2 linked regions of the Mytilus edulis genome follow. The protein of the gene in region 1 purifies or fractionates together with the protein of each later gene. This does not show direct contact. Links are inferred from orthologs where the notes say so. Each region holds a gene or a part of one and is shown in the gene's direction. Other genes may lie near its edges.

Region 1 (8,479 bases):
ATAAAAACAAAATTAAAGGTTGAAATAAGATCAAAATTACAGTTTATTTTAGTAGAAAGTCCGAATTTTGAGGTAAAACTATTTTTTTGGTCATATAATACTTTTAACTATTCAATAAAAAACAACCAAAAATGTCTATTTTCAACAACATTTTTCAGCAAATTTGGTACTAAAATAGAATTGCCCTGTATTCACATATTTTGAGATAAATTGTCATTTTCTATACATAGAACTATTAAATATACTTAATACTTTACTATGAACCCAAAATCAGCTGAAAACTCAACAACCCCTTTCATAATTTTTTTTGGATTTTGCATGGTTTTCTCGTAGACATCCATTTAATACTGTAATAGTGTAAAAAAATACTTTGTAGATTCAGTTGTCCTTTCTGTATGTTGGTCATACGCATGAAGACATTGACCAAATGTTTAGTGTATTTTCCGATAGACTGAGGCACACGGATGCCACAACTCTTCCTGGACTACATCAACATTTGTATAATGCACAGGAACTGCATGGGTGCTATAATGTGAGCGGTTGGCTAGACCCATGCATAGCTGGAGTTAAAAGCCATTCCAAGTCAAATATTTTTAGATACAGATATGATGAGGCAAACAAGTCAGTGAATGTATACTATCGAAAAAATTCAGAACAACCATGGAAAACTCTCCGAAGAGGATTTTTTAAAGTGAGACCAAATGGGTTACCATTGCTAACAAATTCAAATCCACCAGTACTGATGGCCTCTTTTCACCTTTTAGACATGGATGTTTTAAAAAAGGGCAATTCTGTCTGGTCAACGTATTTGACGCAAGAAGCCAGATTATGGTGGACGAATAAACTGTCTTTTATACAGAATATGCAGAGTAACAAATACCAACTGACACAATATTCCAGAAAGGGATGTATTTGGCGACTAAATTCGTTCAAGCCATATGACAAAAATGCACTTGAAGATTCTGTGGATGGCACTGATCCCGTGCCATCCGATGTAAGACAGCTTCTAGTGGGCGAACAGGAAACACCGGAGGTAAGTCATCTATGCGTTGCATCATATGACCAATTCCACAGTGTTTATGACAAAATAGGTGTTCTTATCAAATCAATACAAAATACAAAAGGGAATATTTGTCAATATTTTAATGCAATAACAATATAAGTTATAAAAAATACATACACAATCTCAATGGGTTGGTTGTACATGTAAATAAAATGAACAAAACAACGGCCTGTATACATGCATGACATATAACATGAATACTAATATGATATCACACTTTGTATTCTGTTTGAAATTGATTGTTTTTATTTAAAAGGTGAAATAAGTAGTAATTGCCTTTTTCGTCCATTCTCGATCTAAGTTAAGTCAATACCCACCAAAGCTTAGAATAAAATCAAGAAGGCGAAAAAAGAAAATAGTGCATGCTTGTGTATTCGTACATGTGTATCTGTAAACACATTTAAATATAAATTAAATATTGACATGATAGAAAATACGAATCATTTCTTCTTTTGAATATGTCGTCAAGCTCAATTTTGTACATTTTTTATTTGTTTTTACCAGAATAATTTCAAAAACTAAAACAAAATGATCTGCTAACCAATTAATACTATCCATTAGAATAACACGTACATCTGTTTATATAGTGAGGCATGCTTAACGTCCAGTGGCAATTATTACGTGCATACTGAGGACGAGAAAATCTTTAAAAAATATACAATAGGTATATGTTATATGAGTAAGCACGTCATGTATAGGTCGGAAAATTTAAACCAACTCTTGAAAACTATAGTAGATAGACCAGAAAGTTGACTTTCAACAGACCTCTGAAAGAGTGGTTGTGATGGTCAAAAAATTGCATATATATCGGGTACATGATCGGGTTCTTGAATTTCATGTTCCTAAATGCATTGTAATTATGCACCGTTCTATTTTTTTTTAATTCAAATTGATATATAGATAAAGATTCAATTTTAGACAGTTTTATATTCTCGTGGGATTTTGTCTATGTGTGTTACATTTTAGTGTTATGTCGTTGTTCTCCTCTTATATTTAATGCGTTTCCCTCTGTTTTAGTTTGTTATCCCGATTTTGTTTTTTGTCCATGGATTTATGAGTTTTGAACAGCGGTATACTACTGTTGCCTTTATTTACTGTTAAGCGGTTTCTTAAGTTTCTCAGACAGTAATATACAATGCAAGTCATTGCAGAACGCAACATCTGCAAATATTTCATGTATTTTGATAACATTTTGTCAAAAAAATAACATTTATTTTTTTCAGATTATTGTCAATAATTGATGATGAGGGACACGTACACACGATCTGAAGAAATCAGTATTGATGGACCTTTTAATCCAGATATGGAAATCAGTCTTGAGGAACTTTATTATCCATCCATCTTCGAACATATGTGTTGTGAAACTTTTTTTATTCATAAAACATTGCAGAAAATATTGTTGAGAACACATCTTAAAAGTAAAATATCAAAATCTGGCATCAATCGTACTTGGATTGACGGCAGAGCTTAACGATTACTATCGGCAATTATTTCTAACGTGCAGTTGTCAAACAGATACAATATTGTATAACGATGTATAATATTTCATTTCTCTTCTCTTCGTTTTGTTTGTTTTTGTTTTTATCATGTTATTTGATTGGTCTTCGTTAAATTATACACAATAATCCTATCAGATTAACTTATTAATATCAACATGATCAAAGCAAACATGATTTATAAATTGTTATGTTTACACACAAAATACAAGATATAATATTTAATCTTTATTTCAAAATAGCGTTCATAATGATCAAGCAATAAAATATGTACTTATATACAACAATGAATTTATTTGGTTTTTTTTTTCTAATATTTTGCATGCATAAAACGTGGAATTATACAGAATATAGGTTAACTATTGGAGCGTGTGGCATAGTTGATCTAGTTATAATACATTTGAGAAAGTTTGAATTTTCAAGCATAAAAGGTTATTCATCTTTATCTTTATAAAATGTTCTATGAAAGTATAATCTTTCTTTTTTTGTCAATGGCCCTTACTACTTATTATTATATTCCTAATAGGAGATGAGGATGAGATGGATATTGAAGATAATATAAAAATATATTCGATTGTTTTGATAGTCATTGAGACCCTTTTAACCCGAGCAACACGACAGGTGCCACATGTGGAATAGATCTGCGTATCCTTCCGGAGCACCTGAGATACCGCCTGTTTTTGATGGGGTTCATGTTATTAGGTTATAAAAAATATGAACTTCATTTATATTCTTGTTTTTACCACTTAGAAGTGATACATTTGAATGTGTTGTTGTCCGTCTCACGCCAGGGGTTATTACATTTTGGTTGCATGTTTTCTTGAGAACTTCACTCAATCCATCAAGATGCTATACACTGTCATGCTTTAAAAGATTTAATGTTCAAAGTTCAACTTTTGTGACTTTTTAGTGTACTCCATTCGTATCTGTGGATCGAAGGAAGCAATACATACCTCAGATAGTCTTATATTAGTCCTTATTTTTTCAAATCTTTCCATGTTTTTTAAAAACGAAAAATAGATATGAGTATCGATACTCTCATCATACTCAAGGTAGAAACATGTGTTACAAGAGTATCGATACTCTCATCATACTCAAGGTAGAAACATGTATTAAATGAGTATCGATACTCTCAATATGCTCATGGTAGAAACCTATTTAAAAGAGTATTGATACTCTCAAAGTAGAAAGCTGTTTAAAAGAGTATCGATACTCTCGAGGTGGATACCTTTTCAAAGAGTATCGATACTCTCAATATACTCATGGTATAAAACTTATTTAAAAGAGTATCGATACTCTCGAGGTGGATAACTGTTTAAAAGAGTACCAATACTCTCAAGGTAGAAAATCTTTTAAAAGCATATTGATTCTCTCAATTTAGAAACCTATTTCCAAAAGTATCAATACTATCATTATGTTCATTGTAGAAACCTGTTTTGAAGAATTTCGAATCTCTTAAAGTAGAAAACAGTTTCAAAGAGTATCGATACTCTGTCAGAAAAAAAACTCTAGTCTAGATGCTAAAAAATGGTTCTAGAAAAAAAAATCACCGGAGTTTTCTAACGTTGGAGGTAGGTACCGCTTTATTGAGTATTGCTACTCTTAAAAAATGAGAGCAATATTGATACTCTTTAGTAAAAAGAGCTATAACAAGAAAAGTAATACTTTGTGGTATTATAAATGTTACTCATAGTACTAGACCGTACTCTTGAAGTAAAGAAATAAAAGAACCGCATGCAACAAAGAGTGTCAATACTCTTTAGATAAGACTGTTATAGAAGTAAACGTACCAAATAATGTGGAGAAAATCTGTTTTATACAAATTGAAGTAACTATATTTGAGTATCAAAACTCTCTTACAAATAAAATGAAAAGAATCTGACGAATTTTATAGAATTGATGATTATTTTTGTATCTAATGTCCCTGTTGTACAAATTAATGTACATATTCTTCATGTAAAAAGTTAATATCAAAACTGGGCCAAAATGGGAATTATTTATTTTCCCTTTTTTATTTTTAACGTGTTATATGTTTATGAGAATAAAATATTCGTATTCGTATTCGTGGATTAAATTATTATAACTTCAAAGATAATTGACTTCTCTACAGTTGAATATTCAATGCTTAAATAATTGGATTATATAAGTTATAAATTGTTTATGTAATTGACAACAGCTTTTGTCTCATGATAAACCAATCAACTAGAAACTTTATTAAATCAATTACGAATAAGTTTTTGTGGATCGACTCAATCATTCAAGTGCTCCGGGATGGTACCAAACAGATCCTGCTCACATGTGGCACCCGTTATGCCGGTCATGTTAGTATAAAGTCAATATACATGTGTTCCTCGTCTAAAAAACCTAGAAATCACTCTAATTCGGTAGGTAACATTCGGGAAAGGAGGACGAATAATCTATCAACGATGTTTCTAAGCTGATTATCATTATGACAATTGAAGTCAGTCAAAATCCGGCGAACTTAAAAGCGAATCATATCAGAGACATATAATACAATTGTATTATATGTCTCTGATCATATTATTTCACTTTTTCATTAGATTGAGAGAAAAAAAACTTTTTCTTAATATTTTATATCACATATTTAATGCCACTTTGAAGTAATTTCATAAGCATTGATATTTTAAAGGGATTACTTTGAAATTGTTATAAATTTACAACTGAATTAATTTATCCGGATCGGTATTCGTTATTCGCCGATAAAGTTTTATATTATTACAAAACCGCTTCAGCATTTTTATCAAACCGGAAGTCGTTTTCTCTCAAGACATCGATTATCACATGATAATTTTACAAATCCAATATTTCATTGCAAAATGGTAAGTATTTATTTAAGAATTGGCTGAATACTACATATGTTAAACAGTCACCACAAAACAATTGAAGTTCTACAAAGATCGACTAAGAAATGTGTTATTCATGAATCCTAAATGCACCATGTAGCCACTCGAAGTCATTTGCCGGTTTCTTGGTTCTACAGTCATGACAGTTTACATATACAACCACTAACCATTGATGAATGACCGCATTTGAAAGGTCTTTAAACTATCTATTTTCTAGAATTCTCATAACAGATTTAACTTGTCAGGTTTTTACCAGGAGATTGAATTAATGTTGTATTCTTAATGACTGTAACAGTGTAATGTCCAGTGGCAACTATTACATATATATTCATGATGATACCAAGTTAAAAATAGTGATTTTATAGTATGTCTTGTTTTTTATACTTAATTGAGGCAGTTGCTTCTAGATGAGATCCAAAAGGTTATTATAACAGGATTTTCCCATTTATCCCCATGTCATGATCATCCTTTTCGGTAATCAGATACACATTTGCAAGAAATCATCTGCTCCTTCAATACAAATTTGCAGGAAATCAGATGCCTTCATAATGTTTCTGAAAATTTTGAAAGCTAACGAAAAACTGGGAAGGGTTTTATCAACCACTTAACTTTGATGTTGAAGGTCTTTCAGGTCGTTGATCATGTTGATAGAAATATCCAAGAGTTATCAAAGGTACCATGCTTATAATTTAATACGCCAGATGTGCATATTGTCTACATAAGACTCATCAGTGATGCTCAGATCAATAGTTATAAAGCCAAACAAGTACAAAGTTGAGCATTGAGGACCAAAAATTCCAAAAAGTTGTGCCAAATATGGCTAAGCGAATAAATGCATGGCCATGGGATAAGAAAATCCTTAGTTCTTCTCGAAAAATTAATATTTTTGTAAACAGGAAATTTATGAAAAAAATTACCATCTACAATTATTTATGCTTCTTTAATTTTTGGAGTATAAAATAGGGAAAAAATCATATTTCTAGCATACACAAGCTTAGACATGTTAGACGGTACAATCTTATCTCGAAACATAATTTAGGTAGAACTCCAGACATACATGTATGTCTTTTGATGATGTTGATTCACTTTTGCCTTTCAGGAATTATATCCATGATACCTAGGTCATTGCCCCAAAATTACACCAACTTTTTCACACCAGTTGACAGTTGAAGCTATCTGGGGCCTTGTTCAATTAATATATTGTGCTTAAAACTTTTCGTAGAACTGACAAAACCATTGTAAACACATCAAACAAAGCAATTAATGACTTTCATTTGTCTTGTAAAAATTGCTTCATAAACTATAAAAATGTTCAAATGTTTGCTTTCCAAACTTTTTTTTCCCACACAGCTCATTCATGCTGATGACCTTTGTTTTTTTTTGCGATTCAGGAAGTTGTCTAAACGACTTAGTTTTTTTTTGGGAATGGACTCAATATAATGATATACATGTACATGTATTGAGCAGGTGTATTAGAAAATGTACATTATGTTGATTCTATGCCATAACTTTAGAACTCACTGGCTTTCAAATTGGAATATTTTGTTACTGATGACAAAATGATCAAAATGAAGGCTAAGTTTAATTGTGATATTTTTTCAATTCTGCCGTGCATACATTGTATATGGTGTGGTCCTAAGTTGGTTTGAAAATACCATTTCCTGTTGTTTCTGTGCAAAAACTTAACATGCTTAAGAATAATTTATTCATTGCTTTTCAATGTTGTTTTTTTTGCCCTTCATTTCTTTATCATAATGACACTATCGTGACTATTAAATATAATATCAGATAGAAATTGACCTTATGCCAATGAATACCAATACATCTGTTAACAGTTGAAAAATCTCTACAGAAAGGCTGTAAATATTTAAAATTGAGTTGTTATGAGAACCCTACAAAAGGAACCAAAATTTATCTTTTAATTCATATTTGAATGCTCCAAAACCAATTAAAGTCTTAGCTTATATATGGAGTTATATATGTACATGTATAGTTCCATTGCATAAGGACACAGCTCATATATAATGAAAACCAGACATACTGTCATTTTTCCTCTTACATGTCTTAAAGCAATGTCATATTTGTATCTTTCATATTTAAATGCAGATGTCTAAAATATAAAAAAGGAATGTTTACCATATTTACATTTTTACAATTTTCTTTATTGAAAAAAACCCCAATCAGTATGGTAACATTAAGATAAAGTGGGTTGTGAAAATACTCCAAATACTAGGGTATAAACAATTATTAGCTAAGAAACTATGAGCAAAAATATTCACTACAAATGTCTATAAAATTGTATTTTTAGGCTGGTGGTTTAGACAGAGCTAAGAGTAGTCTACCAAAGATTAAAGATGAAGAAAGAGAATCTATGTTTGGCAATGTGTTTGCTGTTTCTGGACCAGGTAACCTTTTTTATTTACCATGTTAACTTTAGTTACATGTATATGATGTACAATTCTGAGAAACCTAAATGTATCAATTGACCCACAGCATATAATTTTCAAGAAGCATGCTCTGAGGTATAAAATCAAGGTCACGAATTGTTTAAATGCTGTGCTATCATCAGTCAGGGGACTTACTGAAATAAGTGATTTTTAAATCACTAATTTGAGTAGCAAATTCGAAGTTTTGTCACAAATTGTGATTTTGTAATTTTACCAAAATTTTAAACACATCTATAGGTTTAAATAATATTTTTTCATTTGTAAAATTGAAAGAAAATGAATTTTTTGCTTCTTTTAAGTAGCAAGGTTTATGCCTTTGATGCTATCATTTAGCAAAAAAATCTATTTTAGTTGAAAAAATGCTGTAATAATGGCTTGACATAATGAACTGATACTTTCTTAAAAGATTTTTCCCAGCAGTGGGAGTATTTTTCCTGTAAAGTTCAAGGCTTCATCTTTCATATTATGTAATAAAATTCTACTGTTCGCGATAAAAAATTCACTGTTCGGGGGTGTTGAAATTAGTGGGGGTTATTAAAATAATGATACTTAAAGAAGTGATTTTTGGGAAGGAAATTGAGGTATGATACTTAAACAAATAATTTTTAT
Region 2 (8,410 bases), on another chromosome or scaffold:
CATTCATATTCAGGACGACCAATGAGTTGCTCAGTTTTCTAGTTTTGGAGTTTGCATTCTTATAACACAACTATTAACCCTTGTCTTTATATATTAGACTGTTGAATAAAAGTATGTCGTAATATAGGTGTGTCGGAATAGCGGGGGTGTCTTGATACACATATCTGAAGTTCAGACTTGAAGTATGTATTCGAACGTGAAACATATTTTATTTATATTAATCTTCGCCAAAACAAGATTTTCTATCTAAAATAACCTCTCTAACATGGTTTAGTTTATTAAAATATGCTTATGAAGTTTGTGATGTATATGACTCTCCGCCTTGCTGATATAAATGACTGTGAATGTGGTAATCGCAAACGTATAAATACTGAGGAAAAGTCGAAATTTTAAGTTTAAAGAAAGTTGAAATTTTGAGTTTAAAAGAAGTCGAAATTTCGAGTTTAAAAGAAGTCGAAATTTCGAGTTTAAAAGAAGTCGAAATTTCGAGTTTAAAAAAAGTCGAAATTTCGAGTTTAAAAAAAGTCGAAATTTCGAGTTTAAAAGTCGAAATTTTGAGTTTAAGAGAAGTCGAAATTTTGAGTTTAAAAGAAGTTGAAATTTCGAGTTAAGAAAAAGTCGAAATTTCGAGTTTGGAGAAGGCGAAATTTCGAGTTTAGAAAAAGTCGAAATTTCGAGTTTTAAAAGAGTTGAAATTTCAAGATTTTAGAAAGTCAAAATTTTAAGATAAGAAAAGTTAAAATTTCGAGTTAAAGTCGAAATTTTGAGATTTTAAATGCCAAAATTTTGACTTTGAAAAAAAATGTCACACCAATTTTATTTTTTTCTATGTCCCTAATACGCTTCCGTAGTATTACAAAATTATAGATTATACAAATCTTTGATTAATAACCCAAGTTAATGATTGTGGGATCAATGTGGTAGCAAAGAACTTGCTACTCTGTGGGCATTCCTATTTTTATGGTTCTATTGGGTAATATAATATTGTCGCTTCAGAAACGACTAATAATCCACCTGTGAGGGAAATGTCATTTCTCACGAGATATGCATGCATTCCAAATTGACAAACAATGAGACACTTCTTATGGATTGTAAAATATCAGAATGGTCAATCGTTTGATTGGTCGAACTTTGATAAAACTTGTGATCAAGTATCGATCAATCTTCTGAATTCCTGGTGAAAAGTATAAAAACTGTCCACAAGGGACAATGAAGGACAGGTGCGAGGAGTATTTAAGACCAAATATAATTTATATCAGACTTAGATATACAAAACTTGCTTTAGAGATAAAGTAAACAGTCTTTTCGTAACAAAGAAAGACAGCTTCGAAATCTGATCCTTAAACATAAGGGAGATTTTTCCGAAACTGATAAAGATCTAGGGGGAACCATCATCATAAACATCACACAAATACAGGTGATTTGCCTGGTTTGGTTATGCGGGCCAACGGTAACCAGGCGTAACCCTGACCATCTACGAAATTAGTTGAATATAACATATTGTTTAAATATTGGTGACTGATGTGATCAAGACATCAGATCGCCCTTGTTTAACATGAGTTGTGCTTTTAAAAAGAAATATGGTCGTATATGTTTCGTGTTGACTATAATTTCGCCGTTTTAAAATCTAATGTATTCTGGGTAATCATTTCCAAAAGCGTACTCCAAAACGTTGTAATTGGTTTAAAACGTAATAAACAATAGAAGTGCAACCAATGACGTAACGTTATTTTCATTTTGGTGTACGAATAATGAGATTACCCTTTGTCCTCTGATAGATTCTGGAAAGGTGAATTGATAGTTGTGGATGATGTTTATCTCTTTTTCAGGAAAAATGATTCCTTTGAAGCTTTTATGGAATTTATGGTTTTCTACCCTTGATTTGTGCAGAGGTTTTTTGCAAGTTAATTTAAATCGAGCAGATCTTTTCAGGACATTTTTTGAAGAGGGCTACTTAGATTGTGATATACTGAGCATGTCTGAGTTTCTGATGGAGACAATTGCGTGTTGGAATCCAGTGGGATATATGCATGATTATTTGGACGACATCTTATTTATTTGAAACATTTTGAAAGTAATACAAAATATGATCGGATTTCTATAATTTTGATATAATTATGTAAAAATATTAATTAGAAGGCGCAGGCGTTTTTTTTCTGTTACTGTCTTAAAGAAATGCACTGCGAAATAACTCTAACTCGTGTCTTATGTTCTATTAATTGCATTAGATTAATAATTTACCACTCAAAATAAAGAAACATTGTTATACTCATTTTCTTAAAAATTGTATGCAAGTCTAATAGTTAGTTTTCTTTCTGTGGTTGTAAGAATAAGAAAATTTAACCATAACTTTATCAATAATTGCCATTTATTGTCATTTGTGTTTGAATGATTGAATTATGTATGTACTATATAACAGGACTTAGTATAAAAAGTCCCTGGTACTAGTAAAACATATTGTAATATATATTGGTGTCTTCTCATTTATCCAACTTTTTAAAATAAGGCATTCTCATTTAGCCAACTTTTATTTTTGTTAATTATTGAGTTGTTTGTTTAGTAATTATAAGGTGTTTTTTCTATAATTTGACAGTAAATTTGTTCCTGTATGTTTTTATATTATTTAAAAAATGTATACATAAAATATAGGCTATAGTAAACTTCTTACATTTTATATTTGAATAAAATTTAGTATATTTTGAATAAAATTTAGTATATTTTGAATAAAATTTAGTATATTTTGAATAAATTGAATCTTTTATACAGAAGAAACCCACAATCAATAATAATTTTATATTAACATTTTATTGAGTAAATATGATGTGTTTATTACTTTTTTTTAGACTTGTTAACTTTTATTTGTGGTGCTGATTCAAAGTGATTACCAAATTAATCATTGTTCGTGTTCAGCATATTTGCTCATCAATGCAAAAATCTAAACATTTTTCACAACCCAATCACATATCTCCAAGTGTTAAAAATTAAAACTATGGAATACTACTCAGCAATCTTTCCAAAACATGTGAATGAATGAATGAATGAACTCTATTTTTATAAAGGGGGTCTCATTGGGGGGGTTCCGATCCCGGATCCCGCTTACTGTTTTGTCAGATTCCCGTATCCCGCTTACACTATGTACGTAAGCAATTCTCATTTTTTTGTCATTTCCCGGGTCCCGCAAGACCTCATTTCCCGTTTTCACGCCACAATAATTTGACTTTCACGTGTCACGCTTACAAAAAATCAGCAATCCCGCGTCACGCTTAGACCCCAATGAGACCCACTATAAAGAATATTTCTTAGTTAAGCTCATGGTTAGTATATACAAGTACACACCCGTGATATCGCGGGTCCGTGACTGAATTAAAGTATATAACTATGCCTAATCCTTATTTTAGTAATTGTTATTGTCATCTGATAAAGTCATGTCGATTATAAGATACACAGTTTTCTCTGCCTTCAAATCTTTCTGTTTGAACCCGTCGACCTGGAACAAAAGGTCCAGGCTATCCAGGAATGGGGTATTTTTTAATCAACAGCATTGTCCTACATTAGTTATCTTAGAAAGTCTTGCTGATTGCTGAATAAAGCTACAATAGTGAACAATTTGACAATGATTGAATTTAGTAGTGTCAGCCCTTTGATTATGACCCGTGTATATAGCAAAATCCTAAATACACCGTTGGTGGTGCGCCTGTCAAATGCGGAACGCACAGATAAGGTAATAGCTAACAGGTGAATATACTATTGGTATCGGTATCGGATTAGACCCGGAACTTGTTAATTATTGGCAATATTAATTATGTGGAAAACAAAAAGGGTCTGGAGTGGTGTAATTTTTAATCTACACCATTGTCCTATATTAGTTATATATAGAGTTGAATTCTTTGATTTGTCGTTTTTACCCGATGACGGCTGACAAATTGGACCTCGTAATTTTAGTATTATAGATGTAGCCATTTAATCCGAAATTTCATTATTGCACAAATGGCAAACGCACAAGTAAGAGTACAACTAATACCTCATGACAGAGGTCACTACCTAGCAGTTGCAGGCTACAGATTTAATAAAAAAAAATGTATGATGTGTGTATCTATAGTGGACATTTTTTTAATGCCATTGTATGTTGTGTGAATCTACTGAACATTCATTTAGTCACGGTGTGCGGTTGATATTACTGTGCCAGTATTTTATAATCTTTGTTCTAGAATTGCGTGTGCTTTTTTTATATATATGTATGCATATATGTTTTGTGAATTTTGTTCTGTTCAGTCTTTGTGTAGTAAAACGTATTCAACTTATATTTTGTCCTATTTGGATCATTTGGACAGAAGAACAGAAAAAAATGAACGAAGAGGATCTAATATACAAAAAAAGCTCCATCTCATTGACAAATCCCTTCATGAATAAAAGTGCAACTGATATTTTTCTATCCAATTCACATTTTAGTTAACGGTTAAATAACTTAAAAATACTTTCAAATGATTTACATTACATTAACTAAATGTCAGTTGCACATTTTAACATGCTATGCTAAATAACACTACACTGAGAAAATTTAATCCTGGTATAATTTTCAGTCTTATTTTTCACCTGTCATTCAACCAAACTCTAATTGGAAAACCCTTTGTTCTTGATTACCTTTGATCTCATCTATCCAACTTTTTTTAGCTGTACTACCTATATTTTAAAAAAGTTGGATAAATGAGAATGAACCTATATATTGTATTTAAATGTTTGAAAGTACGAATGTTAACTGTAAACATGTATTTTGTTTGAGGGACTCAGTTGAATTACTCTCTTTAAATAAAGAATTTATAATTAATATTTTTTATTATTATTATTATTATTATTATTATTATTATTATTATTATTATTATTATTATTATTATTATTATTATTATTATTATTATTATTATTATTATTATTATACATTGAGACAAGCTTTTTCAAAAGCTGATAGTTGTTAATTTATGTGGAGTTGTCTCCCTTAAATAGCTTCCGCACAGTGCCTCGCTTTGGGAGAAGTTCCATCAAACAATCATCATGTTCTCCCGAACAACACAATTTATCCCACAATGGTTAGTGCAATACAAATTAAACCAAATAATTCCTAAAATAATGAATCATTTAATCTTTAGGAAAACAGGAACAAGCCGCTCTCATGTGGTACTTGTTGTTTTTCAACAGCAATCTAACCGGCTTTGTGACCTCTGTCAAAGTTGACAAAAATAAATCGGTCTTGCTAGTTTTTAGTCCAAATAATTATGACGTCTTGGAAGGCTATTTTAAATTTTTGCTTTGACACCTTTCTGCGTCGATGTAAGGTACCAAAGAAAAAAAATATAATAGCTTTTCAAGACGTTATAATTATTTGGACTAGCTAGTTATATGCCTTGATTTTCAAAAGAATACATTTTGTACTTTAGTTTACTGTCGCACAGTTCAGCTTTCAAAATCTAAGATCTTCAATGAGTTATATGAGACGAATTGACATTAAAGCGTGCCTGAATACAGTACTCGGTAGCATCATTGCCATTAGTCCAAATATTATGATGTCTTACAAGAGGGGGGGTAGGAGGGGGTCCTGATCCCGAAATCCCGGGCTTAAAAACACTAAATCCCGAGGTCCACAAATTAATTAAAGTAAATCCCGGCATCCCGAAATCCGAAAAAAAGAATTTCCGGATCCCGAAAGGGTCAATCCCGAAATCCCGAGCTTAAAAACAGTCGATCCCGGAGTCCCGATAAAGGTCCTATCCCCCCTCTTACAAGGCTACTTAAAGGTTCATTTGAAGGAATTGAAAAATATGGCCATTTTTACACCCAAAAATCTACTACGAGTACAGATAAACTGATGCATCTAGGAAAGTTTTAAGGCATGGCAGGACCTAGGTATATAAAAGTTAGACCTAGTGAGTCTCGGGATCTAAGTGTGACACAGGATTGTCGATTTTTTGTCAGCGTGACACATGAAAGTCAAATTATTGTGTCATGAAAACGGGAAATGAGGTCTAGCGGGACCCAGGAAATGACAAGAAAATGAGAATTGCTTATGTACATAGTGTAAGCGGGAAATGGGAATCTGACAAAACAGTAAGCGAGATCCGGGATCAGAACCCCCCCCCCCCCCCCCCCCCCCCAATGAGACCCCCTACCAGGTCTATGTTTTAAAAAATGAATTTCTTTCCTGGATTTTTAGGTGCCTTTCTTTCCAGTCTGCAGAAGATAGCAAAATAAACAAACACACGAGTTTCAAAATGAATATCAAAATCCAAAAAAGTTTATAATTTTCTGATCTATAAAATGCATTTAAAATTTGATTATCTAGATCCAGCCATGCTTTAAAACTTTCACAGGTGCAGTGCACAGGTTTCTCTGTACTCGAGTAAATTTTATGGTGTAAATACAACCATTTTAGCTTAAAAGGTTATGATGAACCTTAACTTTTTTCTTGGATGCCTTCCTACGACGTATTGCAACTATTTTTAAGCCTGTGACTTTGTCACAACAGTAAGACATAGCAATCCTACAATCCATCCTTTGCGTCGTCCACAAATATTCACTTTGTTGTTAAATTTTTAGAAATTTTAATATTTAATAACGTTCTTAAAATATCTTTGATTTTTACCAAACTTGCATTGGACAGAAGCTTGTTTATGATCATAAGATAGGGTATCTGGTCTGTTCACCCTGATAACATATTTTTCTTGGTCCGTTCACCTTAAGTTTGTTCATCAATGATCACTTCTCCCTATTTTTATTTTAAAATAATTGTATAAGCCTAAGGGTATTAAAATTGATCTTAATAATATATTTCTGACTCAGATTGTTGTATTGAAATAACTGCCTTTGGTGGATTAATAATAATAACAACATTTTGTTTTGACAAACTAAGTCAGCTTGAAATGAATAAAAACAATACTGTATGTAGTGAAAATTATGATGAGGATTGATAAGTTCATTTGTTATTATACTGCATATATCATGTATATTGACTGACTGGAACATTAAAATTGGTAATTTTAAGGAAATTTTGCCGTTATTGGTTATTATTACCTTGAATATTATTACAGATAGATTTAATCTGTAATCAGCAATAATGTTCAGCAAAGTAAGATCTACAAATAAGTCAACATGACCAAAATTGTCAGTTGACTCCTTAAGGAGTTATTGCCCTTTATAGTCATTTTTTACCAATTTTTCGTAAATTTTGTAATCTTCTTCAAAAATCTTCTCTGAAACTACTGTGCCAAATTTAATCAAACTTAGCCACAATCATTATTAGGGTTCTAGTTTTAAAAATGTGTGCGGTGACCTGGCCAACCAACTAAGATGGCCCGATGGCTTACAATAGAACATAGGGGTAAAATGTAGATTTTGGCTTATAACTCTGAAACGAAATTTAATGTATTTAGAGCAAATCTGACAAAGGGGTTAAATTGTTTATTAAGTCAATATCTGTCTGCCCTGAAATTTTTAGATGAATTGGAAAACTGGTTTGGTAATTTTTGGTTATTATCTTGAATACTATTATACATGTAGATAGAGATAAACTGTAAACAGCAATAATGTTTAGCAAAGTAAGATCTACAAATAAGTCAACATGACCAAAATGGTCAATAAAAATATAGTACACTATATATACCAATACACATAATTAACAGCGCCTGGTGATGTTTCATAGCCTGACTGGTTTCGGTCCAAAAAGGACCTTCATCAGAGGCAGAATGGTGGATTAATGTTTGCACCCTATTTATATAGATATGGTAACCGGCGGTTGAGATTTAACCGGCGGTTGAGTTAAAATGATCAAAATGGTCAGTTGACCCCTTAAGGAGTAATTGCCCTTTATAGTCAATTTTTATAAATTTTCATTAATTTTGTAAATTTTTGTAAATTTTTACAAAATATTTTCCTCTGTAATGAAAGGGCCAAGTTTATTATAGATAGAGAAAATTGTAAGTAGCAAGAATGTTCAGTAAAGTAAGATCTACGAACACATTAACCATCACCAAAACACAATTTTGTAATGAATACATTTACATCTGTGTAATTTGTTTGATATGCACATATATCAAGATGAGCAACACAGGTTCTTAAGAGCCTCTAGTTATTTGTATTATTATTTTTGTTGTTATTAGTTTAATCACAATTTTTTTTTCTATTTTAGCACGCAAGTGCGTGGGATGGCAACATTAAAGGAAAGTAAGTTGGAATATTTTTCTTATCATTGATATTTCATTTCAATTTTGCATTTTGACATAACAATTAAAATTATTTTTTAATCAGGACACAGTCAATTCTAGAAAAAAAAGATGGCACATATCATGTATGTGCTTATTGATACATGTGTAGCTAAAAGCAGAAAAGATTTTTTTTTCAATGTTTGAAATCCTATTTTCCCTTT

What was found. Proteins that work in one complex are often made in the same cells at the same time.
Region 2: the proteins of V-type proton ATPase catalytic subunit A (region 1) and ATP synthase subunit gamma, mitochondrial-like fractionate together in Homo sapiens (co-fractionation; 3 studies listed by BioGRID). This does not show direct contact. The link is inferred for Mytilus edulis from reciprocal best matches to the Homo sapiens genes ATP6V1A and ATP5F1C.

Annotation. Positions count from the first base shown.
Region 1 is NC_092348.1:77,322,578-77,331,056, reverse strand, and holds the start of V-type proton ATPase catalytic subunit A, read left to right. Parts: upstream 1-5,320; 5' UTR 5,321-5,396; coding exon 5,397-5,399; intron 5,400-7,731; coding exon 7,732-7,828; intron 7,829-8,479. Other genes in the region: uncharacterized protein, read left to right, coding at 377-1,033, 2,287-2,304. UniProt on the Homo sapiens protein: Catalytic subunit of the V1 complex of vacuolar(H+)-ATPase (V-ATPase), a multisubunit enzyme composed of a peripheral complex (V1) that hydrolyzes ATP and a membrane integral complex (V0) that translocates protons.
Region 2 is NC_092344.1:88,077,912-88,086,321, reverse strand, and holds the start of ATP synthase subunit gamma, mitochondrial-like, read left to right. Parts: upstream 1-4,967; 5' UTR 4,968-5,046; coding exon 5,047-5,081; intron 5,082-8,173; coding exon 8,174-8,208; intron 8,209-8,410.